Alligator mississippiensis: one gene and its partners. The protein of the gene in region 1 purifies or fractionates together with the protein of each later gene. This does not show direct contact. Links are inferred from orthologs where the notes say so. Each region holds a gene or a part of one and is shown in the gene's direction. Other genes may lie near its edges.

Region 1 (7,643 bases):
ATCCTAATGTAGTAGTACATGATGGTATTTCCTAGAACCACAAGTTAGATCCTGATGTCTGCAATAATTTTACCAGTCTTGTGTACCCATTAGCACAGTCCCTAGGGCCCCTACAAGATCAAGGCTTTAAAGCAATGCATGACCTAATAACGCTTGACTTCAAACGTTATTTTTTTTATACTGATTGTTTCTTTATATAGGTAAGTATATGAGCCTGTAATTCAATGTCTTTGTCAGAGGCTTACAGAAGGTTAATCTTAGCTGACCTTTTGGATTGTGATGGGTAGGGATCCTGCTTTTCTCTGATTTTAAAAAAAATCCCTAATTTTCGGATTTAAAAAGTCACTTATATATACATGTGTATATATATGTGTGTGTGTGTGGTGTTTCATTTTAATCACGAGAAAATGTGAATTTGGGAATACTTTTTTTAATCTGAAAATTGGGGATTTTTTTTAAATCAGAGAAAACCAGGATCCCTGGTGATAGGGCATAAGACAGTCATAAGGTACATCGGGCCCAGAATGATTAGAGCTTTATCCATCAAACTAGTACCATGAGTTGTACCCAGAAAGCTCTTGGGAACCAGTGTAGATTCTGGAGCCCTGGGGTTATATCTAGGGACCTACTTAAGTTGCAGTGAGAGGAAGGGTTTTTCACAACCTGTTTGCAGCATACAGAGCTGATTTTGTGGGCATTGTGTGGTGGCCCCGCCCCTTGGTGCTGATTGGCAGAGAGGCCCCGGGGTGGGGAGGAGGAACAAGAGGGCAGCCACCATCCTATCCTGCCACCATACCAGCTGGCACTTTCCCCTTCAGGCAGCAGGAACCAATGGCTCCCAGAGGGAGCCAGCATTTTATTTTTATTAAGATTTTTTTAATGTTGATTTTGTAGATTATCCCAGATTTCATTGTTTCTGCAAACTCCACAAAACCACAGATTAAGTAGGTCCCTAGTTATATCCCTTCTGTGCAACTGGCATCTATATCTTTATGCCTAATATAAATTCACTTACTAAGGGAACTGGGCACAGCATCATTTTGGTATGGCCATGCCATTTAGGCAGTCAGATCCAAGTGTAGAATTTACATATCTTTTAGGATACCTGTGTTCCTATACAAGGGATGAGAAGAGTTTAGATAACTGCAACTCACAACAGCTGGTATGCCAAGCAGGGAGGACACCTAAGGTAGCCATTAGGAAATGTGGAACAGGGGGACATCTCTGGAATCAATCTTCTCCTGCAAAGTGCCTTCATGCACTTATCAACTGATTTCTTCCTTTGGATGCAGGTAACTGGCTTACTTTTTCATCACTCTTACACAGCTGGCAATGATGACAATCCACCCTTTGTATTATACCTAGTGGTTTAAGCATGCACCCAGGAAGTGGTAGACCTAGTTATACTGCTTTACAGCCTGAGGAGTTTCAAATCTACTGGTATCTTTCTCACCTCCAGGAGAGTGCTCTAATCTTCTGCCCCTGCTGCTAAAGCAGGACTGTTGCATAAAAAGGAATGCAACATCATACGGCCATGAAAAGATAGCACATGACTCTGTCATCCAGTGTTGAATACACTATCTTGGAAGCCAAGAATGCAGGATTCATAGGGCCCAAGAGAGTAAGAAAGAAGGAATGTGACTCGGCACAGACAGATGAAATGTTTAACCAGGGTAAAGGGTTACCTGCCTATAAAAAGCAGCAGCCGCTAAACTGGGGGAATCCCTGAACTACTGAACAAATCAGAGCTAAAACTATCAGTGTAAAGACAGCCTGGGTTAACTTTTGCTGCTGCATCCATTCTAAGTTGGCTAAAGGTAAGGCTATCTCTTGCTCCTATGCTATCTAATAGCAATGTGTAGTAGTGATTGATTGCTGTGTTCTAATCATTTGTCTATGCAAAAGATAGGCGGCGCCACCATCAGCTATGGTTTTGAATGAAAGCGATTGTGACTTAGAAATGCAAAACTCTAGAACTCTTGGTTCAGAGGTGATACCTTTTATTAGACCAACTAAGAAATCATTAAAAAAATCTCTTTTTCTGCAAGCTTTCTGGCACACACGCCCTTCCTCAGGCTCAGGAAAAATAAAAGATGATAAAAAGTCCCCATAGGTAGAAAATAAACTTCATTTTTGCACAGAGGAAGCTGAAGGTGCAAGTCTGTTCCTCTGGGACCATGAAAGTGTCTTCTGCTTTGTGCTGAACTTAATGCTTTTGGTGTGATTTATGGGTAAGTGTACTCAGAGTAGGCCTCTTGAAATGAACCCTTGAGTCTCAAGTGGATTGAAATGTGTGATAGGCGTTGGTGATATTGGCTCAGCCTCTGTACATCCTTTGTATTGGTACATCTCTGGGCATGTGAAGTAACAAAACCGTAGGCACCTGCCTACCAAGCAAAAGCTTGAGACTGTGGACCATCACAGTCTCAAACAACAGTTAAGCAGGTGGATTGCACTTTTGGATTTACATGCCTCAGTTTTTGTTTGAATCTGACCCTCTGAATCACAACACAGATGCAAGTTTGATGTGGGATTGTACCCATACTCTGTAAGACTGGGTTATAAAATCAGGTTAAGAAGTAGAAATTGAAACCGTTGTAACCCCTGAGTGCGCAATGCACTGAGCCCGTATCTCCTTAAATTATTGGGTTTTGTCACACTCCCTATTTTGATTCTATAACTTCGAATAGGCCATAATTCATACATTGAAATGTTTTCAATTAAATTAAACCATTTTCTTTGGCCTATGGCCTTTCCCGCTGTCTTAACTTGAAAGGAATAGCTGACCAAAAGGGGCAGGGAGGTTGGAGTATTTTGTTTGTCAAATAAGTTATTTGACAAACAAAACACTCCAACGCCAGTGCAAATGTGCTTTGCAGGTGTCATAAGATCAATGCCCTTTTGTTGGAGGGGGGAGCTCTGCCTTGCAACTCTCCAAGAAGCAGCCTTATTTGGTCTCCCTGTCTTGAGAGGACCCCTAGAAGCCAGCCCCTAGCAGGGGAGAGCCTCTGACTTGGAGACCCTGGATCTTCTCAGTCTCCCGCTTCCTCAGTGATCAATAGCACCCACACCTCCAACAGCTCCTTCCTTTTCATCAGCTCCCATGAAGGGGGGGGGGGGTGGAAGTGGGAGTGCTCTTTTAAAGAGGAGGGGTAGCAGAATGATGTGTCCCAACAGCACAGCAATCTCTGCTCTGAAACAGCCAGTCTCTATTGTGCCACACCAGTTCCCCCTGTTCTTCCTTTGACTCTGTTCCATCCTCCCTGAGACTCTTCTTTTTCTCACTAATCTGTCTTCCCTGGGACTTTCTCCATCGAGCTTTATCAGAGCCTCACGCTTTCTCCTGAGGCCCAGTCAGCCACACTTCAATAGAAGTTACAGAACTGGTTACCTGGGCACACCACTCAGCCAGTACAATGAAAAATAAAGTCACGAGGAACCAATCAGGGAGCAGTCTCTGGGCCCTGCTGCCAGGTCTAGACTGCTATCTCCCCACTGGGGTGAAAAGGACATATAGGTGGGTTGCTTATGAGGTTATTTACAAGATTTCTTTATAACAAAGCCTTCTCACAATGACCCCCTCCCCCCCAGATATTCCCAGTATGAACTACAGGCTAGAACTCAGCCCACTTAGCCTTTTCCCTCACAGCAAGCACATGAAAAAAAATGGTCGGTCAGATTTACTCATCGTGTGTGTGTGTGTGTGGAAGTATGGCGGGGGGAACTGTCTGGGGCAGGAGCTCCCCGCAGCGGGGCGGTGGGAGCGAGCCCAGTTACTCCAACTGACGCTGTCCTCTGCCAGGGGAAACGCTGAAAAAAGACCCAGGGCGAAAGGCCGTCACGGAGCGCCAGGCTGCCAGCTTCTCGGGCAGACAGCAGCTCGCCAGTGCTCAGTCAGACTAGCCCAGCACTCCCGCCTTTTCCCCAGGCCCGGCCTACCGGCCCAGGTGAGGCCGCTGGGGCAGCGCTGCAGCGGGAGGAGGGAGGGAAGGGAAGGGAAGGGCCCGGGCGCTCTCTGGGGGGAACTGCCGCAGGTCCGCGGCCTCCGAACGGCCACATTTCAAATCCTAACGGCTGCTCCGAGCCTTTGTACGACAAACACCGCAACACAGAACTCCCCGCACATGCGCGTTGCGAACGGGACCAGAAGCCCGCGTCCCCTCTCCCTTCTGCAGCGAGCAGGGGGTGGGGGTGGGGAGGCAAGCGCAACCTCCAAAATAACCCCACCCCTCCCCGTCTTGTTCCTTGCCGCGCTCCGCAAAATGGCGGCGGAGCGCGCGTGGGGCACGCCGGGAGCGGTAGTTTCCCAGGCCTCCCCGCGGGCGGAGCGGGCGCCGCGGCGCCAACTACAGGTCCCGGTAGGCGGCGGGTTGCGCATGCGCGCTAGGGCGGGTGGGTTGCTGTTGTTACAGAGGAAACAGCTGAAAAGTCCGCACATGACAGAGGGGCGCGGGGCGTGCGCGACGCCGCGGGGCTGAACTGAGGGGCAGGACGCAGCCGCTGGCGGCGCGGTCATGAACGGCTTCGCGCCTGAGGACGCGGCTCCGCGCGGGGGGGACCCCGCAGCCGCCGCCGCCGCTGCTGCTGCTGCTGCCGCCGCCGCCGCCGCCGCCGGGGCCAGCGCGGGCTCCGCTGTGGAGGTGCCGCCGCCACCGCCTCCAGTGCCGCCGCCGCCGCCGCCTCTCGGGGCCGCAGCCGGGGCCGGGGCCGTCGCGGGCGCTAACGCCGCCGCGGTTGCCGCTGCTGCTGCCGCCGCCGCCGCTGCGGGCCCGGCGGGCGCGGCGGGGCCCGGAGCCGGGCAGCTGTGCTGCCTGCGCGAGGAGGGCGAGCGCTGCGGCCGGGCCGCCGGCAACGCCAGCTTCAGCAAGCGCATCCAGAAGAGCATCTCGCAGAAGAAGGTGAAGATCGAGCTGGACAAGAGCGTGAGTGCCCGCGGGCCCGGGGTCGGGGGGGGAGGCGGCGGCGGGGGGGCTGCGGCGCAGGCACCGCCACTGCCCCCGGCCCGGGCGCCGCGTCCTTGCCCTTGGCGCGCCCGCCTGCCGCAGGGGAGCTGCTTGCCCTGTCCCCGCGGGGGCCGCCCGGCCGCCATGGGGTAGAGCCGCGCCGGCCCCAGACAAAGCCCCGCGGTGGGGAGCGCGGGGAGCCCCCTCCCGAGCGGCACAAAGGGGGCTGTTGCTGTGACTGCTGCTGCTGCGGGGGGTGCCGGGAGGTTTCAGCTGCGGAAACTTCGCGTTGGAAGAGCCCGGGGGGGAGGAGGGGGGAGGCTGCGGTCCCGGAGTCGCTGAAAGTGAAACTGCAGCCGATCCGCGCCGCTGCGGGCCTGAGCGCGGCTTGTTAAACCCCCCGGGCCCGGCGGAGAGTGCCTGCTTCGCCGGCAGGGGCTCGGGGAGGGCGGCGAGGACCAGGGGGAGACATCGGCGGCTTTTAAAAAGATGACGACGGAGAAGTCATTTTCCTGCTGATGGCGGGAGGGGGCTGGGCTCGGCTGCTCCCTGGAGTCGGCTCGTTGCTGCAGCGCGGAGGGGGAAAGGAGGGGGGGGGGGGGGTCTGGCCGGGACCAGCAGATCTCCTCCGCCCCGAGTTCAGGCCACGAGACATGGCGATGGCTCTGCCGCTGCTGTGTGTGACCGCACGTGTCCAAACCCTGGCAAAATAATCGTGGAAAACATGGCTTTTTCTCATTTTATTTTAGGCAAGGCATCTTTATATTTGTGACTTTCACAAAAACTTAATTCAGAGCGTGAGAAACAGAAGAAAGAGAAAAGGCAGTGATGATGATGGTGACTCGCCAGTGCAAGACATTGACACTCCAGAGGTACCTGCCTAGTTATTTATGTGGTTGCCATGTAAAACTGATTCTTAATTGTCATGCTTTAGTCACAAAAATATAACATTTCTTATGGCTATGCTTCTGTATTCATTGTGTATGTTAGAATGATATATTCTAAGATGCTTACATAAGGAATATTTGTTTTCTCCATTTTATTCATCATACTTCTCCTGGAAATAAAGCCTAACCTAAATCGTAAATCAGTTTTGATTCTGAAATATTTTACCTTTCTCCCCAGATCCCTAGTATTGGAGTTACGTGCTTAGCCACATAGTAGCAGAACCATTTTTCAGCAGGAGTCAGGCAGTTACTGAACCATGAGCCCAGCATTTATACTTTCGGTGTATAAAATGTTTTATCACCTTTTAACTGTCCCTTGGCTTTTCCCCCGTCCTGCCAGGATGGCTACAGAACAGTCAGAAGTTGCTCCATTCTGTTAAAAAAACACTTAGAATAGATATGTGTCATACATAAAAGCATAGTAGAGTTAAATCTTAAATGTAAAAGTATGTACTGTAGTGCCACTATTACATTCCAGTTTTTGGGGAAGTGGTTGCTTTGATCTGGCACATCCCATATACAAAAGTGGTGTTTAAAACGTATATGCACCTTTTTGTTTCCCATTTCAGATGGTATGAAATACCCTTTTTTTTTTTTTTTATATGCCCTGGATAAGTGCACTAAGCTGGAGGGTAGGTTGCCTGTTCGAGGTATCAAAGATCTCAAATAGCATTTTTAAGATTTGGCTGCAGAACTTGTTCCTTCAAGTTCCCCGGTAATGCATTTGTCCATAAGGCCTTTTCACTGCCAGCACTCTGCTAAAGAATTCTGGGTTGACAGGAAGGAAAACACTTTTTTTTTTTAAGCCTCTGGTGAAGATGTCTGAGGTCCTGGAATATTCTGAGTCCTGTAAGGTCTTATCTCAGTTCCTAGAGACTGTTTTTTGTAGTCTTCCCCACAATTATCTTTGCAGTTACCCTCTTGAATCCCAGGGCTGCAATTTTGGCACCGTGCGGACCACAGTTCCTGAACAAGCCAGTTCTCTTTTTCAAGTTTTATGGGATCAGCAGTTCTTGCCACAGCTGATATCTGCTGCCGACTCTTGTGAAGGACAAAAAAAATAATAGTGACAAATGTACTGCTTAACGCATCCGCTCCTGCAAAGGAGGCTTAGTTCAGACCCACATTCTAAAAGCTACAGTTGTCAGTTTAGACGGTGCCAGAAAACCCAAAGGTGTTTTTATTCCTCTCTCCTTGCCACCCCCCACCCCCAATCTGGGCACTGCACCAGAGAGACTCATGACTTCACTGATGGAAAAGAAATGAGTGCCCAATGCAATCTCTACCGTTTCCAGGAAGAAAAAGTTCTGTGCCAGTGATCTACTAATTTCACCTCCAAGTCTGTTTCAGAGGGCAGTTCAGAATGTTATTTTGGGCGGAATACTAAAGGCTGCTTGGAACAGAAGGACAGTACATACTGCATGTCTTCTGCCTTCATTTCAGTTGCCATATTTAATGATGATTTAATGCCATTGTTTCTTTTTTCCTAGGTTGACTTATATCAGTTGCAAGTAAACACGCTTCGAAGGTACAAAAGACACTTCAAGTTACAGACTAGACCAGGACTCAACAAAGCACAGCTTGTTGAAGTAAGTATGAACATCTGTTCTGTAGCAGGCAATGCAACTTGCTATAATATGTGAATCTCTGGAAAAGGTGAACCATAGGACAAGTAATACATCCTTACCTTTGTAGAGAATATCCGTACAGATTAACATAACAGCCTCTGTAACTGACAGATGTAAGCTTACAA
Region 2 (8,146 bases), on another chromosome or scaffold:
GTATCATTATGACAACATATTCAGCTCTTATTTTGTCTCTCTCAGCTGCCCTTATTGTGAAGTTATAGGAAAAATCCACTCTCAGCTCTGTAGAAGAGAAGTTATCCATGCAGAACCAGCAAAGGAAAGGCCTCACCACTCATCTTTTCTCTTGCAGGTGCAGAGTGTGACACACTGGACACCTCTGCTCAAGTGAGAAGTCTGGAGGTGGCTGAGCAGAAAAAACTCCTTTTCACTGGGCTGGTATCTGGAACAGTTCTGGTTTTTCCACTGAATTCCAGGAAAGATGTGGTGTGCATCCCACCCCCGGAGTCACAAAAACCAGTCAACCACATAGCACTCAACAGGCAGGAAACACAACTGGTCGTAGCATATGATAACTTAGTCCTTGTGCTGGATGTCAACCCTGGAGAGCCATGCCCAGTGATTGACAAGCCCACTTATACCTTTTATACGCAGCTCCCTGCTGTTATTTCCAGCGTGGCTGTCCTTACAGGCTGTCGGGTCCTCTATGGCATGTCCAGTGGGGACTTATTCCTTTATGACTGTCCATGTTCCCAAGTATTTCCTTTGGAAGCCCACCGAAGCAAAATCACTTGTTTAGAAAATAGTCACGGAGAACAGTGGGCACTGAGTGGCTCTGAGGATTCTCTGCTGTGTCTATGGGACTTGGAGCTCTGCCAATGGAAACACGAGATCTGCTACTACAAGGTACTGCACCAGCAGAGCTTGGGAACACAACATTATTAGTCATTTATTCCAATGAGCCAGTACAGACATAACTAGTCCAATTTTCAAATAGCGGGCTTTCCAAACACTGTAGCAGCTAGGTGCCTCCTTTTGGCATCTTAGGCCTGAACTGCACACTTGTATCCAGGTTTAGCTACCTCGTTAAAGAGTATGCTTTCTAGAGAGCCCACCGATGACCTAGTGCTGTTAAATTTTTTCTAGCCCCAAAACTCACATCTTCAGAGATGCTTGGTCAGAACTTATCCACCACATTCACTTAATTGTTTGCTTGCATCCTGTTCTTGGTTATGCACATTGTTTAGCTGAGGTCAAGTAAAAGCAGCATAAAGGACTAACAGGCTCAGCCCTGTGGAGTCCCATAAAAGGGGAAGTGATGGAAGAGCTTGAGCTATTTTTCAGCTTTTCACCTGTGCCTGACAGGCCTCAGCCTTTACCCGATAGGCTGCACAGTTTGCACTCACTCCTTTTGGTAGCCTTCTGAGCTTTTACAGGACACTTTTTTTGAAGCGCTTTAGAAGCTTAAAAGCAAAATGCCAAGCTTGTTGCACTTTCAGTCTCGCTTAGAACCACTCTGGAAACATTGGTTAAGTTAAAATGTATGCCCGTTCTCAACTACCTAACAGTCAAACCATCTAGGTCGTCTTAATCTTCATGTGCATTTACCAGTACATTAGGGTCTAATTCAAACCCATTATCCATTTTTAGCATTCATCCTTCTTGAAAGGTATTGAATGTGCTTGCTTCTCAAAAGATGATAAATACCTGTATACTGGATTACTGGATCAATCCATTGCAGTTTGGGATGTTTCAAATGGTAAGTAAATCTGTATCGCCAGCTAAGACAAGAGGGTACACCTTACTACATCATTTTCCAACCTTTTGAGCTAAGCCCCCAATTCTGTTTGTACTGACCGGCCCCCTCGCCCCAGAGGAGCAGCGCAGCCAGGCACAAGGCATCCCTCATCCTAGCAGCTGCTGTGGCTCTGCTCGGCTCAGCTCTAGCACCTCCTGCTTTGGCCCTGCTGTGGCTCTAGGCTGCACGCCCACTGCACTGGGCTCCCAGAGGTGCAGCAACCCCCTGGCAGAGCCTGCCCACCCCCACACCCCCCCATGCAGCTGCAGTGGCTCCTTGCAAGCTTCTTTCCCATGCCCCACTGTGCTGCACCCCCACCTCCATGCCCCCCAGGGGGGTACGCCTCACAATTTGACAACTTCTGCTTTATTGTATATATTAAACAGGTATGTAAGCTCCTTTCTGCAGTACAAAGGAAAACAAAATTTACACTCAGTTTAAATGAGAAACTAACTTGGTTACATGTTAGCACAAGGAATTTGGGATCTCTCTCCTGGCCAAAAAATAGATTTTTGAGAGAGAGAGAAAGTCTCTGTAAGTTGCAGCTACATATAGATGGGCACTGACCCCTACCTCTGCCTCCCTTGAATCCATGAGAACATCCCACAAGTGCCTGCCAGTACACCCTGACCTTCTGTGACACTGCAAAGAGAAGTACCATCCCCAGTGTCAAAAAGGCCTCATTACACTGACTAGCCCAGGGGCAGGCAGTTATTTCTGTCAGGGGGACACTTACTGAGTTTTGGCAAGCCATCAAGGGCCCCATGTCAGGCAGTCTGGGGCAGATAAATATTCATTTTCTACATTTTTTAGGGGCCCCACAGGTGGGATAGAATGGCCTGGCAGGCCACATTTTGCCCACCCCTGAACTAGCCAGTGACATCAGTGTCTAGTTTTTGCCATAGATGTAGTACTTTCTACAGCAGGGAAGCTGCTTGAGGGCTTGTCAGGGTCGATGTGTAAGGTACCTTAAAATTCTGTATTTAGACTCATCCTAAAAGCTTAGGCCCACATAAGAGCAAGAACATCATATGTGGCATAAGGGAAAAAAATGTACGCTTCCATTTTCCTTGCCTTTCCTCTGTTAGATACTGTTGTGTGCTCACTCTTATTTCAGGGTTACATAACAATTGTGAACTTTATGCTTTAGCTTGTTATAAGGCTTGTACTTGTCATCCTCTCACAAAGGATGGGCAGCTAGTTTAAACAAAGATGTTTAACTCCAGCTGTGTATTCTGCAGTTTGGATTAGTAGACTTCCTTTTGTTAAGCTGACGTGACAGGGGGCTTGCCTTCTGATCTGTCAAACAGGTATCCAGAACACTACTGGAACCGTAAGTAATGCACTTTCTTCACTGCAGGTTACCGTGCAGTAGCAAGTGCTTTCAGGGCAGCGTGCCCATGACCCTCTAAGACAAGTTAATCTCTGCAAGTTTTATGGCAAAATCCTTTATAGGCTTCTATTATCCACCCCGATCCTTGTTACAGTCTAAAGGAGCTGATGACAAACTTCCCACCCTTCCTTCACATTAACACCAGTAATTACGGGGCCATTTATGGAAAACGGCAGGGCCTCCTGTCCTTCAAGTGTAACGTCTTATGCTGCAAATCATTTCCTTTTCATCTCCTGCAGGTGCTCTGCTGGCTGTGCAGTGTGTGCATGCAACTGCAAGAAGAATCGTGCCAACTGCTGATGGGTTTGTTGCAACAACAAATCTTGGCTATATAATTCGTGAGAAGTTCCACTGCCCACAGTCCAGCAGCCACCAGCACGACCCGCTCCAGCACGTGGAGGCAACATGCACAGTCAAATCCAGGAAGGGAGAAGAGGCAAATTCAGGAGTGCAGCATCACAATCAAGGAAATACCTCCAGACACCAGAGTCAAAACCGCAAGCCTTCACAGATCTGTGCAATTGTGTAAGAGGAGCGAAGCAGCAGATCAGGACCACGCAGCCTCGGGACCCAAGATCAAGCGTTCAGGCCGAGCCTCTTAAGTCAGAAGCCGAGAGCTGGGGTCAAATTCGGGAGTTACTAGATCTCTTCTCTGCTCAAATCTACGCTACGCAACAAAGAAAACCTAGTTAACTATAGTATTTCCCAGTGTATTTGATCAGTTAGCATTCAGGATTTCTTAGTGCCGCTGCACTGCAACAGTCAAGTAACGCACAGGGAACGTGGGCGCTGCGCTCGTGACGCTGCCTGCGCTGCGTTAGGTTTTAACGGGTCAACGTGCTGTTAATGCGAGTGCCTCATTTACCAGAAGCAGAGTCAACCGTCCGACTGCTGAACCGTTAACACGCGCCATGAGTACACACGAACCCCTGCTGTTGTGAGCTGCCACCACCCCCCGCCCGGCCTGCGCTAGGAGCTGCGCACGCCTGGTCTGTGTGTACAAGGGCTGCAGAGCCCGCAGTTCGCACGCCCATCGCGGCAGGAGCAAGCTACCGGCCCACGAGCCCTCGCTGCCTGCGCACAGAGAGAGAGCAGCCGCAGATTTCTGAGACTGTGATTACAAGGGTCGTGTGTCCGGCGGGCTGCCGCAGGGAAGGTCTTTGCACTAATCGGTTGTTTGTTGGGATATTATTAGTTCCTCCTAAAAGTAAAGGAACAAGTTTTATGGCGATGTAGTTCGGAGGCGGTGCCCCCTCCCCCACACAACTTTCAGGATAGCTTTACTAATAAACTTCATACGAGAGTCTCGACTCCAGCGGGCTGCTTGCGCTGTGCCCGGGCGGCGGCGGCGGCGATATCTGCCGCGCGGCTACGACCGACCGGCCGCTCGACAGGCGCGTGCGGGAGCTCGGCACCGCGGCCGGCCGCCCACGCAAGAGGCGCTCCGCACTTCGCCGGGAAGCCCGTGCCTGCTGCGGGCAGCCCCGTGGGCCCCGCGAGCCCTCCCGCGCCCGGCGCACCACGGCCAGCCGGGCTCGCCCCGCGGTCCGGCCCGGCCACGCCGGAGGCACGGATGCGGCTTCTGCTTTGTTGTGAATAAAACGTGTCAGGTGTTCGCCGGCGGCCTGGGCGACGCGGGGGCTGCCCGAGCCGAGCCGGTCCCGCCCCACCGGGCAGAGCGCGGCCCTGCACCCCTTACCTCAGATTTCGCGGCGCCTCGGGCGGAAACGGCCCGGCCTGGAGCTGGAAGAGCCGCCGCCGCCGCCCCCTGACGCGCGCTAGTGCCGCCCCGCGCGATAGCGGCGCCGGAAGCCGGCAGCGCGGCCGGAAGTGGGCGGGGCCGGGGCGGGGCGTGCGCGGTGACGCAGGCGCCGAGGACGCGCTGACGGGGCCGCCGCCCGGTGCCCGAGTTCCCAACATGGCGGCGGGGGGCGGCGGCGGCGGCGGCGGCGGCCGGGGGGGCAGCGCCCCGCGCTGGGGCGGCGGCCGCGCCGGGGCCCAGGAGAAGCTGCCGGTTCACGTGAGTGCCCGCGCCCGGCCCGCCCCGGCCCGCCCCGCCCCGCGCCGGCCCACCCGCCCCGCCCCGCCTCACCCCGCCCCGCCCGTCTCCCCGCAGGTGGAGGACGCGCTCTCCTACCTGGACCAGGTGAAGATCCGCTTCGGCAGCGACCCGGCCACCTACAACGGCTTCCTCGAGATCATGAAGGAGTTCAAGAGCCAGAGGTACCGGCCCCGGCCCCGGCCCCGGCCCCGAGCCGGCGCAGGCCCGAGCCCGAGCCCGAGCCCGGAGGCGGCGCGTCCCGGCACCCGCGCTGCGCTGCGCTGCGCTGCTGGGCTGGGACCCGCTTGGCCCCGTGCCGTCCTAGCGCGGCGGCGCGTGGCCCGGGCAGCTCCAGGCAGGGCTGGCTCCGAGGCGGGCGTGTTGTCCGGTCTGAGGGCAGCCCCTTTCCCTGCACCGCCGCCGCTGGGCTGGGCTGGGCTGGGCGCTGGCGTCCGGGGTCCTGACCCGCTCCCGGGAGCTTGTTCTGCTCCCGAGCCGTCTCCCCTGGTCCTCCCCGCAGCGGGGTCGGGCTGCGGCTCCCTCTGCCCCGCGGCTGCCCGACAGCTGGCGCTGACTGCGACCAGCTTGATTCGCCCCTGGCCTCGCCTGTCCTGCCCCGTCCCGCCTCGCTGCGCTCTGGCAGGGGCCGCGGGAGGAGCAGGTCGAGGGGCCTTCGCTCCCGCTGCTCCCTCCGGGGGACGGACCTTCCAGCGGGGCGTGCGGTCGCGGCCTGGTACCGTTCGGCCCTGGGACCCGCAGACCTGCACAGATGCCTGTTTCAGGGGAAAGGCAGGGCTCTTGCTGACGCCTGCACACCTGGCTCTAGCGTACCAAAATGCTGACGTTGCGCGGTCGCTGCGTAAGCCTGCGGGGAGGAGGTATCTTCGCTACGTACCCGGAGCTCAGCGAGCAGTACTTCCCCCTGCTGCGTTTGACATCTTGTAGAGGGAGCCATGAGAAATGTAGGCGCTTCACAGATACCTGCAGGGAGTGAGCACTGTCTCAGTGCTTAAGTCTTTCAAATCCCTGTGCTGTTAAACAAAGTTATTTTTGCAATCTGATGCATCTGTACCTGCGTATGAATTCCTTTGTGGTTGCATTTTGTGACAAAGACCCTGCATGCAGTTAACGGTTTCGTCTTGGTTCTAGCATTGACACCCCTGGCGTAATCAGGCGCGTTTCCCAGCTGTTTCACGAACATCCCGACCTCATTGTAGGATTCAACGCTTTCCTCCCTTTGGGCTACAGAATAGAGATTCCAAAGAACGGGAAGTTGAGTATACAGTCGCCGCTGGCTAGTCAGGTATGTTAACATGCTTGGATTACTTTACGTGAACACAAATGTATGTGCGCATATAGATAAAGTAGCACGCAGGGTCTGCATAGTAAATGAGCTGGTTTGCCTTTATTGCAGTTAGTTAAAGGTTTTCAAATTTTGAGGGTATGGGGTTATAAAAAACAGTTTTGAGGTTACAAAAAAGTTTTTCTTTTCCAGAAATGCTTCTTAGTTTGATTGGAATAAAGCTCCCACACATGCTGCAGCCCAGACATTTGAGTCAGATTTGAGATGGTGGCTGGGTGCACATGTATACATGCTCCATTCAGTCTTTGTAATCACACTTTACGTTTTAAAGGAATATTTCAAAAGATCTTATTTCCTCCTTCCCATTATGGCACAAGACGTTTACTGGCGTGATACAAATAGCCGCGTTTTATTCAGATGCTCATATACTGCACTGAAGGATGTGGTATTAAAACACAAATAGATGCATGCCATTCTCTGCTTCCTTCATCACTGTGCGGTTGTTGAGTTTGTAACTGAAAAGTCTCAGCTAAAATTCTGTTCAGAAGCTTCTTGTATAAACCTTAATTTCCACCATCTACTACTCTTTCAGATCTCTTACGTGCATTGATTGTTTTGTATTACTTAGAAATTTAGCATTTTGACTACTGAGCATGCATCTTGATAATCTGTCATTCTTCTGGAACAAAGTAGTTTTACTCTAACTATACTGCAGGGTGAATTCAAACCATCTCTAAAGTGAAGAGGATAGGGTAATGTAGTGCCAATCACAAGCATTAGTGAATCAGGTTTCTCACGGACCTTTGGTCATTGGATTTTGATTACTCTGTATTCCTTTGTCAAGATCATGGCCAGTGGGTCCAGGTACAGCATTTGAAAATCCCTTGAAAATGAGGCTGCTCTGGTGGAAGAATTGTTGATGAAAACTGGACCTGAGAAGGTATCCACCCTTTGATAAAAGGACACAGAGCAGAGAATATGAATCTGGTGATGAAGTATGGCATTATTGTGCATCAAATGCCTTGATGTTGAGTGACTAACAGGAGACCTGGCTTCATAACTGGATACTGAAATGAAGTCACCATGTGTTGTGGTAATACAAGGTCTTGTTGACACTTGAAACTCGCTGCTGGGTAAAATACTTTCAGAGATGATCTACAAGGCCTACAGGCCCCCTGCTGTGAACCCCTGATTCAGAGAGAGCTCTCATATTTAGTGTATTCTTCCCTGGGAGTTAGTGAGATTCCTCGCTTTCATTCCCCCAGTTCTCAAAAGGTCCAGTATCACAAAGACTCTTCTGCTAGAATCCCTCAACCTTCCTCCTTGCATTAGCTACTGATGGACACTTGCTCCAGAACCAGTTCATACAGTCGTGGTTGGCCTGGGACAAAAGAACTGTGTTGCTCGTGTACCTGGAGGCACTTAAGAAAGGCCGTGGCAGCACTGGCTTGAGAGGAGTTGCTTTTCACACTCAGTTACTAATTGCATAAGCCGTTTTCAAGCATTGCCATATTCAAGAGATGTAGGGCAGAGAGCATGGTCAGATTCAATGCATTCGGATTCCACTAAGCTTGAGGGCTGTGAGCTATAACTTTGTCCTCTGAATCTCATCTGTAAGCTACAAGCATAAAGTTCAGCTGTCACTGGCATAATTCAAAAAGGCTGTTTTCCTAAGGAATCTGAACAACTGCACGTAGGATTTCCTCCATGCTGGCCCCATGGTGCAGCTGCACGTCTACAAACCCTTTGACGCTACTTCTCTAGAGTTCGTTAGTGAAAGGTTGCAAAGATGTTCTCAGCGCTGAG
Region 3 (7,466 bases), on another chromosome or scaffold:
AAGTGGAGAAACATCTGAAAAGACTGTGCGAAACAGTCATTTTCTGAACTGAAGGTCTTTCTTTGTGTACTTAAAAGCTGTCTAGTATTTCTGCAGCATTTCAGTGGAAGCCTTCCTGCATCCCTGGTTTATGCTCGTCCATTTCTCCTCCTCTTCAGTTGAGCGTGAACTATGTCGCTGAATCCTGTCCCACCCAAGCAGCGTGGGCCTGCCTGTGACAGGCGCGCCACAAGATAAGCCCTGCACCATCTGCGGACACTGTCAACCCCTTTCTCTGCCAGATGTGCTGCTCTGCTCCCCGCCCCGCGTCCTGCCTGCTCCCCCGCTTTCTGCTCCCCGCCCGCGCCCTGGCTGCCGCTCCGCTTTCTGCTGCCCGCCCCGCCACCCCAGGTGCTGCTCGACTTTCCGCTCCCTGCTGCCCTGCTCGCGGCTCCCCACCCTGTGCTCCCAACCGCGGCTGCCGCCCGCGCCACTCGTGTCGTGCCGGCCCGGCCCGGCCCGGCCCCGCCGCACCCCGCTGCCCCGACACGCTGCAGCCCGCGGGACCCGCCTGTTGCTCGCCGGGTCGGGTCGGGTCGGGTCGGGTCGGGTCAGTCCCAGCTGCCCGCGCCGCGCTCTCACCTGGCCCGGGCCCGAGAGGCCGCAGCGGGCGGGCGGGTCGGGCCGGTCCGGTCCGGTCCGCGCTCACCGCCCCCCGCTTCCTGCCTCGGACCCGCCGCTGCCCGACGTGCGCCTGCGGCTGCTGCCAGGCGCGGCCGATCGTTCGGCTGCATCGGCGCTCGACTCCCGCGTCTGGGAGCTCGGGCGAGCCGAGCTAATCGGGGCTCGGCCCTCGACTCGCCAGCCTGCTCCCCCCCGCGACCGGGGGGGGGCGGTCTGCGTTTGCCTGCGCGGGGAGGGTGGAGCCGACTGGGCCGCCGTCACTGCCCGCATCAGCGGGGCCGATGTTGGGGGAAGGGGATCTTTGCATCGGTGGTTGATTTAGAAGTCTGTGCTCTCTGGGCCATGGCGATCGATTAGCTCCTCCACACAGCTCGGTCCCAGAGAGCGCTCGGGACGATCGGTGCTCGATTGGAAGCCCTGAAAGGCGCGGGCGGCCGGGGGGTTAACCCCTTGTGGGAAAAGGCGGGAGTTTGAATGGGGGGCAACGATCCATGGGGGCCTGGATCGGAGCAGGCGCCTCTCGCCCGGCCTTGGGTTCAACGTGCTGGGGAAAGGGTGGGGGGACTTACGGGTTTCTTGCCCATTCAACCCAAAAAGTGAATTTGAGGCTTGTCCAGTCTAGATGAAAGAAGCATTTACTCTTTAAACGAGTCACTCTTGCACATGCATAGCTAGGTCTATTTTCAACTGGATTAACCTGTGCGTTTCAGTATGGATAAGACTTAACCAGGAGAAGCAACAAAACCGGACAAGGGGAAAGGGATTGCTAACAATATAAAGGGGAGAATTTGCTTACAGAGTGGTGTTTTAAGGAAGAAAAGGCTCAAAGGGACAGGAAGAGCTTTCCAAGTAGACGATACAACAAGAAATTAGCTATTGGAATAGCAAGGGCAATAAGAGGATGGGGGATTCTTACAATACAAGGAGTCTTCCGCAATCCTCACCAGCGGGGCGAGGGCTGCAGTGCTCATTGTTCTTTTCTTGTCTTCCCCCCCTGCAAAAAATGTCCTCGGTCGCTCACAGCTCAAAACCACCTCTGGTGTTAGCCCCTGACCATAATTTTTCACAGTATGCTATGTTACAAATGTTCTGGTCACAACCATCTCATTCCCATGAACAGACTTCACTTTCCAAACTAACCTAAAGTTTTATTGACAGGTTTTTTTTTTCAATATCAACATATTGATTCTTTTACATGCTGTGAGCCCAAGTTTGGTATCACAGCTACTCCATGAATGGTAATAGCTGATACAGGCAAAGCAGCTTTCCTCAAAGGAATGGATATGCAGATACAACAAAAGGACCTTTGGTGGAGACTTTGACTCTATGAATAAGGGGCACAAATTCTCTCTGAATGCTGAGATGTGAACAGTCAAGTAGTCACTATTGAGGGGGAAACGGCACATTCCTTAAAGATAAGCCTCCTCTTGGGTTTCAACTGAATGCCTGAAAGATGACAGCATGAGGTTTCCGCATAAGTTTAGCACTGAACATGGGGAGTGAAGTGTGCTGAGATGAGAGCAATGCAGCACATGGGATTCTAGTGTTGACCACAGAATAATTTAAACATTTCTGAATCAACAATTATACCTAGTCTCTCACTGATTATCACCATCCCCTTTCAGTTCCTATCACATGTGATGTCATATCAGTAAATATACCTGGCCTTTGAAAGTAACATAAAAACAGCATAATTTGGAAAAGTTATTCTGCTTCAAGAGGGGCTTAAGGCAAACATGCCACTGGAGACAGTCCTGGATTCAGCCTCACCTGTGACTAGTTCACCTCTCAACTTTAGTGACCTCTCTTGAAAACTGTTGGATTTCAGCTTCAATCCCATCATCTGTAAAAGGTGAGTAATGTTTACATATGTAAAAAAAGATGTAATAAATACTTAACAAGGATGTTGCAAGGCTAAAAACGTTAATCTCCATAACAGATCTTTGGCCAAAATGCAAAATAGAAGAGCTAAGCACTTAAACATTTTCACCCTTTTAATAACAATGAGTACACTAGCACCTCTCACAGCTTGTCAAGGCCTAGTTTTATTAGTTTCACACTGCATTGCTTTGGTGATCATTCTTTGATAGCACTTTTTAAATATTATTTCCTTTTTCCTGATGACAGGGTTACAGTACATAGGACATATGCCTCAGTGAGTCAACATCTCATGATTCTGGGGAACATACCCTGCAAATGTTAAGGTAAATGCTTAGTCACAACTCCGCTAGTTATAAACCAATATCAACCAGTTGATCAGTACACCTTAGATGGCTTGTCTTCCCATAAAAGAGCTAACACAGGGTGTGTCTACGTGAGGTGTTTCATGTTCAGAAGACTGAAGCTACTGTGCATTAGCACGGCAAGCAAAGCCTATGTTAATGCACAGTAGATTTAGTCTAATGCACAGTAGCATCAGAAAAACGTTCATCTGCACTAATGCACAGTAGCAACAATTATGATGCATTTAGTACGTGTCATAACAGGTACTAAACTTAATGTAATTACAGTGCATTAATAAACGTGTAGATGTGCCCACAGACACTTCACCATAAATCCAGATTTTAGCATTCTTGTGCTCAGGTTGAAGGCCTTGAATAGCCTCTCCAAGCCTGTAATTAGCAACGTGCAAGACAAAGAGTTTATCTGTATGGCTCCAGGGACACAGCCTGGTGAGAGCATTTGAACATTACAAGATTGAAAAGGATCTCATCTCTGAAAGGCGCTTATTGCTTTGGAGGGAATAAACCCACTCCTGGCACAGAAGCTGTTATCCATGGGTGTGAAGCAGTTACCTCAGTTGGGGGATGTGATACCACAGCTATCAGCGACAGCTTGTTGGGGACACGGGAAAAGGAAAAAGCGAGTCCTTCGAAAGGAATAAGAAGAGCAGAGGTGCCGTTGCGCTTCAGTCCTCAACACTTCAACATCCTGCCCCCGGGCACCTGATGACGAACAGATCATCGTGAGGGCTGGCTGGGACGTGACATGGCTGTCGCGCACCTGCACACATGTGAATCCTGGTCCCCTGGGGCCCCGGGTCAGGTCAGGGTAACGCGGCGCTGCAGAGCCCAGCACCCTCCTGGAATGGAGACCCCGGGCGGAAAACACCCGGCGCTGGGCTGGGCCGGGCCGGGCCAGGCGGGATGCCCTGGAAGCCCGCGACAAGGCGCGCTGGGGATGAGCCGGAGCCGGGCAGCTCTGCAGGAGCCGCCGGGCCTGCAGGAGGCAAAGAGGGGACCGCGAGCAGCTCCTAAGCACCCTCTGCCGGCAACCAGCGGGGCGCTCCGCACGAAGGGGACGGGACCGGCCCGGGGCGAGCCGCGCGGGTGCAGCCGGCACCTGCCTGGCTTCTAGGGACCTTATGAGGTCAGTGGCTCCGCGGCCCGAGGGCACTGCCCGCCCGGGCGAACGCAGCAGCGGGCAGCCACCGCGAACCCGGACCCCGACGGGGGGCGGGGCCTGCCTCCGCTATCAGGCAAGTCCACGTCCCACCCGGGTGGGGGTTCAGCACAGCCCACTTCGTTCTAGGAGAGGGCCGCGAGAGCAGCCCTAGACTCCACTTGGAACAACCCAAGTAGCTACAGCACTGCGCAGGCGCTACCACTAGCACCAGGCTCCGGCCCCCGGGGGGTCCTGATGACTCCGTGCTGGCCCCCACGCGGCCCGGCTGGTTTGAGGTGTCCCGCGCATTCGCCTGCGCGAGTTTCCGGGTCAGGCAGAGCGGAGGCAGCCCGCGCGTCCCGGAAGTGGCTCGCGGAGGGCCTCGCCCGGCTGAGGCGGCGGGAGGAGGGAGCGGGTGAAGCGGCTTGCGGCCGCCTCCCGTCGCGATGAGCGCGGCCGGGCTGGTGTCTGCCGCGCCGCCGGCCCCCGTGCCGCCCGGGACGCTCCCCGCTGCCCTGCCGCCCGGCCCCGAGTACTACGAGGAGGAGGAGCTGGAGAGCGCCGACGAGGAGGACGGCGAGCGCAGCGCCCGCGCCCGGGACTCCGACGAGGGTGGGCGGGGCCCGCGCCCGGGAGCCTGGGGGGGGCTGGGGGAGACTCGCACCTTCCTCGCTAGGCGGGGGCGGGTGTGTGTAGTGTAATGGATGTACGTGTAATGCCCATACACGTGTGTGTGTCACGTACACACGCGTGTGTTCCTACAGCCTTGCATGCGCATGTCTAAAAGCACAAGCTTTTGTGAGCTGACACACTTCATCCCCACTTGGGACCTGGTGGGGCAGGAGGAGCCGGGAGGGTCACTGCTTTGGGTCTTAACCTCAAGATCAGGGTTTCTCAGCCCACAGGTTTTGACCCAAAAGCAGGGCGCAAGAATATAGGGGAGGGTTGAGAACAAACTCTACAAATGGATTTTTCTTTAAAGGAAAAAAATGTGGGGAACCGCAGCATTTCCTTTGCCGTCCCCCCATGTCTCACACACACACTGCTGCCCTTCACTCTGGGGGCAAGGGCAGCAGGTTGGGGGTGAGGGGCACTGGGTCGGGACTGGCCATCGATGTTTACAAATGGGTCCTGGTACAAAAAAGGTTGAAAACTGCTGCTCTAGACTCAAACTCTCCTGCCCCCTATCAGACTTGAGGAACCCTGCTTTTTGGCTCCAGTAAAATAACCCAGTAGTTCCCCCATTGCAAAGAACTGGGACAGCAGCCAGGCCAAATGGGTTTGATGCTGTGGATTTCTGTTTCACATCTCTGGGTTTATTTTATGAATGGTGGGCAGGGGTTTGCGCACCTGGGTGGTAATGTTGCACATAACTCATGGCAGCCGTGAAAGGACTTCACAGCATCCCTGCAACAGCCAGGTTGAGAATCATTATGTTATTTCCACAAGAGGGTGGGGGGGAAATTGGTGTAAAACAGTCACAGGAGAAACAGGAGGGATGAGGGGGGTGGAGTTTGGGCTGGTTTTCAGTGGAGAGAGGGGTGGTAGTAACGGAGGAAAGTCCATAGGTAGTGAGAAGAGTGTAAGGCAGGGACGGGCAATTATTTTGGGCAGAGGGCCACTTACTGAGTTTTGGCAAGCCATTGAGGGCCTCATGATAGGTAGCCAGGGCCAGATAAATATTCATTTTCTAAATTTTTTTAGGGGCCCTGCGGGCTGGATAGAATGGCCTGGCTGGCCACATCTGCCCCATGGACCGCAGTTTTCCCACCCCTGGGGTAAGGGGAGGAACAGAGGAGTGAAGTGAGGGAACATAGTAAAGTAGTACAGTGACAGGTTACAATGTCAGAGAGATTGTGTGAGATGGCACTAAGCATTAGTACTCGCCTCTGTTACATGTAGATTCTGAAGGACTTCTGTGAGGTGTATGCTTGTAAATACTAAGCTGAATAAATCCCAGTAGCATTACTTAGCACCCTTCCTGGAAGTCTTGTCTCTGTTGTAAAACGTAACAGAATTTAGTTCTATTCTTTTTTTGTTCTGGGTTTCAGGGAAAGTGTGGAGGGGTTTTGAGACTTGTAAAGGAGCTGGGGTTTGCTCTAGCAAAGAGAATATGGCAGGGATAAAAATGTAAGAAAGTCTACAACACATCCCTTATGCTATGCCTAGCTTTCATGGATGGCATGAGGATTTTCTAATTTACTATAATTAGCTAGATTTATTCAAGAAACAAAGGGACAAGATGTTTTGTGTCAGCTGATTTAATTTTCTATACTATTAAGCTTTATTATAAATGCTTGTTTTAGCAAACAGGACAGCTATGTGTGGAAAACACGGATAGCAGCTTGTGATGGTCTGAAGATGATTGTGTCAGAATTCACCGTTTAGGCTGCCCTAGCTTAATTAGAAATAAATGCAACTAGACAAAAATGACCTGTTTCTTTAAAATGATTTGATGCTGTGTTTTTAGTGATATCAAATTATTCTACATTTGATTCAGATACTGAGGATGCTAGTGAAACTGACCTGGCAAAACACGATGAAGAGGATTATGTAGAAATGAAAGAACAGTAAGTATTCCTCCCCCACCAAAACAAAGTTTAATGGCATCTTTCTTTAAGTTTTTTAACTTGCTAAAAAAGCCAGGGGCAGGTTATTTCTGTCTGGATAGTTCCTAACATAACAGGGCTGTTTAGTTATATTGGACTTATTAAAGGTTCCCTCTGTCTACAAGCACAAACTACTTAGCTGTTGCATCAGTGTTCAAACAACTTAAGTGTTTGCTACTGTCCTCCTGGATAGATGTGACTTCACTGGAGTCATTCATCTCTGCTCTGGACATGAATGGGCCCCCTGTGTGCTTGGCGGCGGACCCAGAAGTGGACTAGAAGCACTTCTGGTCCACTTCCAGGTCTACCGCCAAGCACACAGCGTGCGCCCCCCCCCCCCCCCCCCGCCCCCCCCCCCCCCCCCGGCTCCTGTGGGACGCTCCATCCGCCTCACCATCTCAGCCTTCATGAGCCTCCTGGTACCTTGAAGTATGTAGAAAAAAGATTTAAAGCTGTGTCTATGTCCGAATCTCTCCAAATCAATTTGGAGTGATTAAAGGATCTCCTGATTCAATTCAGAAACTTACTCTTCTCATATAAAACCTTCACTACCCCTTTAGTTCTATGATAAACCCAAATGGTTGCTCCTGGTACAAATCAATAGTCTGGCTTATGTTTTCTGTATATTTTTTACTCCAGTGTGTGTTGATCTACAGCAGGGGCGGGCAGTTATTTCAGGCAGAGGGTCACTTATTGAGTTTTGGCAAGGCATTGAGGGCTGCATGACAGGCAGCCGGGGCAGATAAATATAAATTTTCTAAATTTTTTAGAAGCTCTGTGGACCAGGTAGAATGGCCTGGCGGGCCACAC
Region 4 (8,173 bases), about 8.4 Mb from region 1:
GCAGAAATCACAAGTAAATGGCTGTAAAGGGATTTATGGATGAAATCCAAGCCTTTTGGAAACTGAAATAGCTTAATATAATTCTCTCAAGTCTTTCGCTACTAAGATGTACAAGCCTATGTTTCTTATTATCAGTGTCAGATACAAGTTCTGCATCAGACCTTGGGGAGACAGGGTGCTCTATCAAAACTAGAGATTGTTGGCTTGCAAGTGGACTTTTAAAAGACTAAATTTCTTTGACGCTTTATTTAAAATTCACTGAAATTACTCTTGGGGGATAAAATGTCACTGAGCTTCCTTAAATAACAGTTTTCCATGAATCATTACATTGCTCTTCTTGAAGGATGAGTAGGATAACTCTTACCGTGGGCTACAATGGCCTAAGATAGAGCTACTCACAACTCAAAAGATATAAATTACTGAGGCATCTCACCATTTCAATTGCCATTGCAAGAAAAGTGTGACTTCAGAGCATACTTTAGCATGATGGAGACTTACTGTTTCCTGAGTGTAACCTATAACTATTCTACTGATATAACGTCTCCCCAACCTGAATATTGCTCATCATTTACATATATATATATATAAAACCATAAAACCAGCATAACGGATGGCAGTGTTTTGTGGTCAATGTATAAACCACTTGCAAATATAATTTATTACCAAAGATCTTGGTTTTCTCTGTTTAAAAATAGCAAATTCTCTGATAAAACCCCCAAATTGGCAATTAAAAGATATATATAGCTATCAACTGGACACAATGATTTATTGCTATATATACAAGTTTTTAAAAGGGCTTGCAGCGTCAAGGAGCTTCCCAGCCAGGCCCCACTCTGCCCTGCTGCGCTGGGTCCAGCCAGGGCCATGGAGGCCCTGGGGGGAGGGCAACAGGGCAGGGAGCCCCGAGCTCACAGCAAGCAGCCTGCCCTCACCCCCACCCTGCACACAGATCTACAGGGCACATGTCTGCCTGCCCCCGCTGGGAGTGCACTCAGCATTGGGGAGCCAGCCCCCCCTACCCCTGGATGAGCTCTCTGTGGCCCCATTCTGCTCCCTGCCGGGGCCCTGCAGCCGCACATTCTGGCCCCGGGCCCCAAGCTCCACACGCTGCCTGGCTGGGCAACAGCCCCAGCCCTGCTCAACTCCCTCCCTCAATACCTGCTCCCACCCCGCCAGACTTACCTGCAGGAGCTGTTCCCCAGGCTGCCTCGAGGCAATGTGCATATATCCCCTTCCTGACTGCCCTCCTCCCGCTCTCCCAGACCCTTGCAGGCTGGAACTCCACATTTCTCTGTTAAAATGAGAAATCTGCATTATTCTCAGTTCAAAGGGAAAATCCACATTTGTTTACATTTTCCATGGGAAATAGAAAACCCAGATGCCTGTTTATCATCTGTATATGCATTAAAATAAAAATAAAACAAAATTGCTTGGATACAATGCATTTGGAAAGCAGCACTTCCAGAAATTAGGTTTCAGCCTTAGAGAATGATCTCCTCAGGAGTACCAGGAAGGTGGGACCTTCAGCATGGCAGAGCAAAGGGACAGGACTGGTTGTCTTCAAGTGTAAAAGGGAAGTTGACATAAATATTTTTTACATCAAACCTTCTGGGTCCTCGATGGGCCTCTTTCTGTAGGTGTATGCAAGAGAAGAGAATGGTAGTGTAAGAGTGATGTTGTAGCCCTGATACTGCAGAAATGAACACAGAATTGCCATTTGTTGGGTCAAATCATAGATCCATTTTGCCCAGTCTCCTGTGTCACATAGTTGCAGAGAGCGAATGCTGAAAGGGAGAGGGAACTGGGTATGACCAGGATTTTTCTTTTCCACTATTTCCATCTCACTTGCAGCCTCCTGCATTTAAGGCCTAGGAAGTTCTAATTCAGAGGCTGTGTCCGAGGGTGATCTCACCCATCCCTAATTGGGTGGGACAGTCCTGAAATGTAAACATCAAGTCCTGCCCCAAGCTGAATGACTCTGTCTCTGGGACAGCATTTGTCCTGGATTCCCCTCGACACAGTCAAACCATCGGCCCAGTATCATGTGCAGGGATCCAGGTTTTCTGTTCGCTGCTGAAAAACACGGATTTTCTTCTTAAACAGACAAAACCGTAGGAAACTGCTAAATTCCCTTTTCAGGCTGGCAGAGTTCCAACATGGAAGGAGCTGCTTGGGGCTAATGGAAGCAGGAGGCAGGGCATGGGCGACTGGTGTCTCCTGAGTCAGGGAAGGCACCAGTGAATGTGGGGGGCCCGGGGGGGGGGGGGGACGCCACGGCCAATTGCACCAACCTGGGGGGGGGTGGGGTGGGGAAGGTAGCTGGCATTTCCACGTTGGCACGATCAGCCGCAGGGGAAGGTCAGCGCGATCGGTCACATGGGGACCACAGGGATTGCTTCTCCTGGCACCCCCACTTCACAGACCTCTTGCTTGCCCCCCTACCAGTTGCTTAAGCAGGGAATGCTGGCTGTCAGGGAGTGCACCAGTGCTCTCAGGGGGTGCATGTGCACCCCAGGCACCTCCTACGCATTGCCACAGATGCAGGGGCATCACATGCCCAGCAATACAGCCAGGCAGCGTGGAGCAGCTCCCCCAGATGGCTATAGGTAAGTCTATGGAGGGGAAGGGAACATAGGGAACCTGGGAGGGGACAGATTGACACCCACATGGTGAGGGAGGGAGTGGGGCAGGGTTGGCAGCTAGGGCTGGGAGGCAGTGTAAGGGGCACAGGACTGAGGCAGGAATGTGATTATAAGATGACTGATGCTGAGGCAGTGTAAGGGGCCCAGGGCTGAGTCAGGTCTTGGCCACGGAGTGGGATGGAGCCATGGGCAGCTCGTCCAGGGGGCAGCAAGAGGGCATGTGTCCTGCTTTTGGATTTGGAAAAGATGAGTCACCCTACTGTGCCCCTAACTCCCATGCTCAACAGCTACCCATGCCCCTTTCTTCCAAGAACCTGGCCTATCCCTTTTCAAACCTGGCTAACGGGAAAGGGATCTTGGAGTCCTAGTGGACTCCAAGATGAACATGAGTCAGCAGTGTGACGAAACCATCAGAAAAGCCAATGGCACTTTATCATGCATCAGCAGATGCATGACGAATAGATCCAAAGAGGTGATACTTCCCCTCTATCGGGCGCTGGTCAGACCGCAGTTGGAATACCGCGTGCAATTCTGGGCACCGCACTTCAAGAGGGATGAGGATAACCTGGAGAGGGTCCAGAGAAGGGCCACTCGTATGGTTAAGGGCTTGCAGGCCAAGCCCTATGAGGAGAGACTGGGGCACCTGGACCTCTTCAGCCTCCGCAAGAGAAGGTTGAGAGGCGACCTTGTGGCTGCCTATAAGTTCATCACGGGGGCACAGAAGGGAATGGGTGAGTATTTATTCACCAAGGCGCCCCCGGGGGTTACAAGAAACAATGGCCACAAGCTAGCTGATTTAGACTGGACATTAGGAAGAACTTCTTCACAGTTCGAGTGGCCAAGGTCTGGAACGGGCTCCCAAGGGAGGTGGTGCTCTCCCCTACCCTGGGGGTCTTCAGGAGGAGGTTAGATGAGCATCTAGCTGGGGTCATCTAGACCCAGCACTCTTTCCTGCCTATGCAGGGGGTCGGACTCGATGATCTATTGAGGTCCCTTCCGACCCTAACATCTATGAATCTAAACCGACAGCTTTCCGCAACAAATCCAGTAACTGAACAAGACACCGTGGGACAAAGAGCTTCCTTGTGTTACTTCTCAACTTCCTGCCTACAAGTTTAGTGTGGTGACCCCCAGTTCTTGCCTTGTGAGTGTCCATAATCAATCCCTATTGCCTCTCTTCGCCATTTAGCATTTTGTAAACCCCTTATCGTGCCCTCCCCCTTCCACGAGGTGAGGCTTTCTTAGGCTCCCTCTACACCTTACATGCCCTGCCCGACTGCCTGGTTAATCGTGCAATTCATCTGTGTCAGCTGCACCGAGAAATTCACTATCCTGCCTCAAAACCAACTCTCAAGTGACGGCTAGCAAACGTGCAGTAACTTTGTAGCTGCTTTGTGTCCAGCTCTCCCGCGCGCGCGCACGTGTGTGTGTGTGTGTGTGGGGGGGGGGGTAGTTTTTATTGGACCCACTGCACATGGGTGGGAGTCAGACAAGGATGCAAGATGCTGCCTCAGCTGTACAGACGTCACCCTCAGGGAAGACAACAGCACGACGTGCGTTACGTTTAGAGCACCTACGTCACGGGCTGGCAGCCTACACTTTACGGGCGGCCCATGAAGCGATGAGAGCCGCGACCCCCAGGAGCTCAGAGCTGCGGATCCCCCGCCCCGCCATCAGGCTCACGCTCTTCCCCCCATGCTCCACAGCCCTGGGGAGCTTCGTAGCGTCAGCATAACACCACTACATCCCTTCCTCTCCGGAAGGACAAACCCGAGGTGAACGATCGCGCTCCAGCTCCTTTAAGAGTGCTCCGCCTCTTCGCCACTTCCGGCCTCGTGCCCGGCCCACCAGCCAATGGGAGAGGCCCGGGGGCGAAGGCGGGAGAATGCGAACCCCTCGCCGTGCCACTTAGCCGCGCCTTATAAGGGCAGGCCCCCGCGCATGCGCAAAGCTTCACCGACCGGGGCGGGGGCTCGGAGGGGGTTTGCTTCGGCAGCGGCGGTGGCGGAGGCCGCGCGGGCCGGGGCCGGAGCCGGAGCCGGCCGGGGCGCGCGGCCATGATGCTGGGTGGGCCACAGCTGGCAGCGGGCCCAGCGGCGGGCGGCGGCGACCGGAGCCGGCTGCTGGCGCTCTACGTGCAGGACTACCTGGAATGCGTGGAGTCGCTGCCGCTCGACATCCAACGCAACGTGTCCCTGCTGCGCGAGATGGACACGCAGTGCCGAGGTGAGCCTGGCGCGGCCCGGCCCGCGGGACACCCCTCCCCCACGCGAGACCCCAGGAAGGGGGGGTGGAAACGGAGCCGCCGCGCATGCGCCCACGGTCGGGGGCGGGGCGGCCCCCACGCCACGCGCACGTTAGGGGCAGCGCGTGGGGGGGCGGTGCCAGACCCCCCCCCCCCCCCCGTGCCAGTGCCCACCCCCCTTTGCCGGCCCCCCCTCCCCCCCGCTGTTGCCTCAGTCCCGAGGCGCCTGCCTGAAGCCCGTTGCTGAGGTGCTGCCCTAATCCCCCCCCCCGCCTGTCTCTCCTGAAACATCTCTGCGTCGGGGCAGCTGCCCAGGTTCACCCCTGTGCCCAGCCGGGCAGGGATGCGATGGCCCCCTCAGCCGTCTGTCCCTGCTAGGTGAGCCAGCTGGCCCGGGGTCAGGAGCTTCAGATTAACCAAAGGCAGCGCTTTTCCCATAGCAGCTGGCTTGGGCGTGGGCCCTGGAGCTCTGGAGCTGATGTCCCACCAGGCCAGAGTAGGGCTGAGGCGAATCCTAGGAGGAAAGGGGTGTGGGTGTCTGTGGAGCCCGCAGGTGAGGGGCTTGGCCTCAGCATTGGAGCTTCTTCGCTCGACCTTGAAGGTTGCAAGTAGGAGAGGAGCAAGGGGGAAACCCCAGTCGGACCCAGCTTGCTCTCCCTTTCAGCCTCCCCTCTCTGCCGCTGTATGACACGGGGCCAGACAGACTCGTGGTCTGACCCAGCCAACGGCAGCTCCTGTGCGTGTATGTGCTGCAAGTCGGTAGCAGAGGGGAATGGGATCGGAGGAAAGTCAGGTTGGGAGGGACCTTGGAAGGGCTAGTCCAGTCCCTTGCTCCAGGCAGGAACATCCCTGGCCCAACCATCCTAATACCTGTGGCCCATTTCTCATCTTGCTTTTAAGTTCACTCCTAAATCTGAATGGAGAAGGAACAAAACCTTTTCAGTGGTTCTCCTCTCCCTAAAGGATGTTGGTAGTGATTTCTCCTTATACCCCTCTTCCCCCGAGCTTCCTAGGGTGTGCGGTCTCCCTGCAACCTGGCTGATGTGCTGCTGAATGGCCAGATGCATCCAGGCCGGGCTCTCCGAATGAAAAACTCATGTGAACACTTTTCCCTTTCCAAAAGCTGTTCCTTTGCTTTGTATGAAGTAGGAATAATGTCAGTGTCAGCACACCTGAAGATGCAGGTGGGATTCATCATTACCATGACAGCTGTAATTGTGCTGCACTGTGTATTTGATGAGGTATTGACTTAACATAGTACTTGTTCAGATGTCCAGAAGGCTGTATGTAATCAGCTGAATAACTGCTGTTATGTTCAGGCCATTTTTACTACAAAATATGAGCGCCCTCTAAACTCACCTGGGCTGGATTTGACCCACAGGGCTCCTTGCAGGCACATGGCATGCAGTGGTGGAAGCAGCTCTGGCTCCTGTCAATATACCCCAACTGGAGCCACTGCTGTGTGCACTGGGTGGTACTGGCAGCTCTGGTTCCGTACAGGGTATATAGCAGCAACTCCAGCGTAGCATGGGAGTGGGGTGGCAGTAGTGGTGATGGGCAAAGCAGCCGGAGGGGGACCAGGGCTGTATCAGCTCTTGCTGGCTCGCTCTCCTGCTGCCAACTGCCCAGTGGTCACTGTGGTCCAAGGGCCCAGATTCTCTGGCAGGCCACTGCCCTGGCCACTCCCTCAACTTCCAGTGGCCTGTCAGTCCAGATGGAGCAGTTCCCCAGGCCTTCCATGTGACATCCCTGCTTTAAATGATTGATTTGCTATAACAAGTTGGATTCCCTCTTTACTTAAACCAGAGTAACCATTGTGTTTGTGCTAAAGCAGTCTGTAGTACAACACTGCACTTAAATTTTTTCACTTGTTCTGGATTGCAAATTAGACCTGGATTTAAAAAACAATCTTTTAAGCTATTTAGCTCTAAAGCCCATCCTTTCTAGTTAAGTCTAGAAGTGACAGCTGTTACTTCTTTCTCTCTTCCATCTTTCAGCCAATAATAGTGATACACCAATGTATCAATCCAACATCGGATCAGTACAGATATAAAAAAAAAAAATCTATATTGGATATATGCCTTAAGTGGCTGATAATTGGGCTAATAAATGCCCATGCTGCATGCAGCCTGTATGCAGTGAAGAGACAGCCCACAGTGTGGAGAGCTACTTCCAGCTGATAAATCTGGGGGTGGGATAGGGAGAGGGAGGCTGGAGCAGGGGCAAGTGTTGCCCTGTCTGGGCAGGTGGGCAGAGGATGAAGCCTCAGCTTGTCTAGGGGGCGTGGGATGGAGCAGGGCTTGTCTGTGGGGTGCAGGGCAGGCGGAGGTGACTCCTGCTGCTGCATGCAGCTCATCCTCTGGCTCCCACTGCTGCTGCTGTCACTTGTCACGGTGGGGGGGAGGGGGCCAGGTGTCCCCGGATGTGCATGGGGCGGAGCGGGCTGGGGCTGTGCCCATCAAAGCCTGGGCTGGGTGGGGTAGGTGGCAGTGCCGCTGGGAGTGGGGAGCTGTGAGAGGGCTATGGTGAATTTTGGGGTGGTTGCAGCTTCCTCTAGCCCCCTCCCAGTGGCGTTGCCCCCCACCCCGTGTGGCCCAGGCTCTGCTGGCAACAGGACCCAGATCTGCATGAGGCGAACTGGGGCTGGGGCAATTCCCAGTGGAGCCTGGGCTGGGTGGGGCAGGGGGTGGTGCTGCTGGAAGGGGGCTACAGGGGGAGCTGCAGCCACCCCAAAATTTGCCGTTTCCCTCATAGCCCCCTGTTCCCAGCAGCATCACTACCCACCCCTCCCAGGCAGCTCAGGCCCCATGGGGAACAGCCCTGGCCCCAGCCTGCCTTGTCCAGTGCAGATCCGGGGGCACACGCTCTTTGTCTTCCACCTCCCACCCCCATGCCCTCCTGGATGAGTGACAGCAGCAGTGGCAGGAGCCACCTTACCCTCCCCCTGCACCCCATGGATGAGTTCTGCTCCATCCCACACCCACACAGATGAGCTGCAGCTTAGTCTCATTGCCAGCCTGCCCTCCCTGACTGGGCAGTGCATGCCCCTGCCTCCCTCCCTCCTTCATGGCAGGGCCTTGATTTGCCCCCACCCCCTTTCTCCTACCACACCAGACTTACCTGCTGCAGGTAGTGTATTGGATATCGGATTGGTATCAGCCGATATGCCTCCTTAAATATCAGCAATTGGTATCGGCCTCAAAAATCTCTATTGGTGCACCCTCAGTTGATAATATACCAGGCTATCACTAAGAGGGGAAGTACCAATCCTTATTCACAAGAAGCT

What was found.
Region 2: the proteins of SAP30 (region 1) and SIN3B purify together in Homo sapiens (affinity purification with mass spectrometry; 4 studies listed by BioGRID and IntAct, with this or other methods). This does not show direct contact. The link is inferred for Alligator mississippiensis from reciprocal best matches to the Homo sapiens genes SAP30 and SIN3B.
Region 3: the proteins of SAP30 (region 1) and SUDS3 purify together in Homo sapiens (affinity purification with mass spectrometry; 4 studies listed by BioGRID and IntAct, with this or other methods). This does not show direct contact. The link is inferred for Alligator mississippiensis from reciprocal best matches to the Homo sapiens genes SAP30 and SUDS3.
Region 4: the proteins of SAP30 (region 1) and ING2 purify together in Homo sapiens (affinity purification with mass spectrometry; 3 studies listed by BioGRID and IntAct, counting the BioPlex papers as one, with this or other methods). This does not show direct contact. The link is inferred for Alligator mississippiensis from reciprocal best matches to the Homo sapiens genes SAP30 and ING2.

Annotation. Positions count from the first base shown.
Region 1 is NC_081825.1:80,263,853-80,271,495, reverse strand, and holds the start of SAP30 (histone deacetylase complex subunit SAP30), read left to right. Parts: upstream 1-4,427; 5' UTR 4,428-4,514; coding exon 4,515-4,922; intron 4,923-5,692; coding exon 5,693-5,815; intron 5,816-7,380; coding exon 7,381-7,479; intron 7,480-7,643. UniProt on the Homo sapiens protein: Involved in the functional recruitment of the Sin3-histone deacetylase complex (HDAC) to a specific subset of N-CoR corepressor complexes. Capable of transcription repression by N-CoR.
Region 2 is NC_081839.1:448,562-456,707, forward strand, and holds the start of SIN3B (paired amphipathic helix protein Sin3b), read left to right. Parts: upstream 1-4,899; 5' UTR 4,900-4,914; coding exon 4,915-5,016; intron 5,017-5,112; coding exon 5,113-5,219; intron 5,220-6,186; coding exon 6,187-6,340; intron 6,341-7,184; exon of another isoform or gene 7,185-7,259; coding exon of another isoform or gene 7,260-7,280; intron 7,281-8,146. Other genes in the region: NWD1 (NACHT domain- and WD repeat-containing protein 1), read left to right, coding at 158-711, 1,456-1,564, 3,236-3,525.
Region 3 is NC_081833.1:22,485,950-22,493,415, reverse strand, and holds the start of SUDS3 (sin3 histone deacetylase corepressor complex component SDS3), read left to right. Parts: upstream 1-4,404; 5' UTR 4,405-4,493; coding exon 4,494-4,659; intron 4,660-6,547; coding exon 6,548-6,617; intron 6,618-7,466.
Region 4 is NC_081825.1:71,860,536-71,868,708, reverse strand, and holds the start of ING2 (inhibitor of growth protein 2), read left to right. Parts: upstream 1-4,794; coding exon 4,795-4,860; coding exon of another isoform or gene 4,861-4,862; intron 4,863-4,863; coding exon of another isoform or gene 4,864-4,868; intron 4,869-5,590; coding exon 5,591-5,597; intron 5,598-8,173. UniProt on the Homo sapiens protein: Seems to be involved in p53/TP53 activation and p53/TP53-dependent apoptotic pathways, probably by enhancing acetylation of p53/TP53. Component of a mSin3A-like corepressor complex, which is probably involved in deacetylation of nucleosomal histones.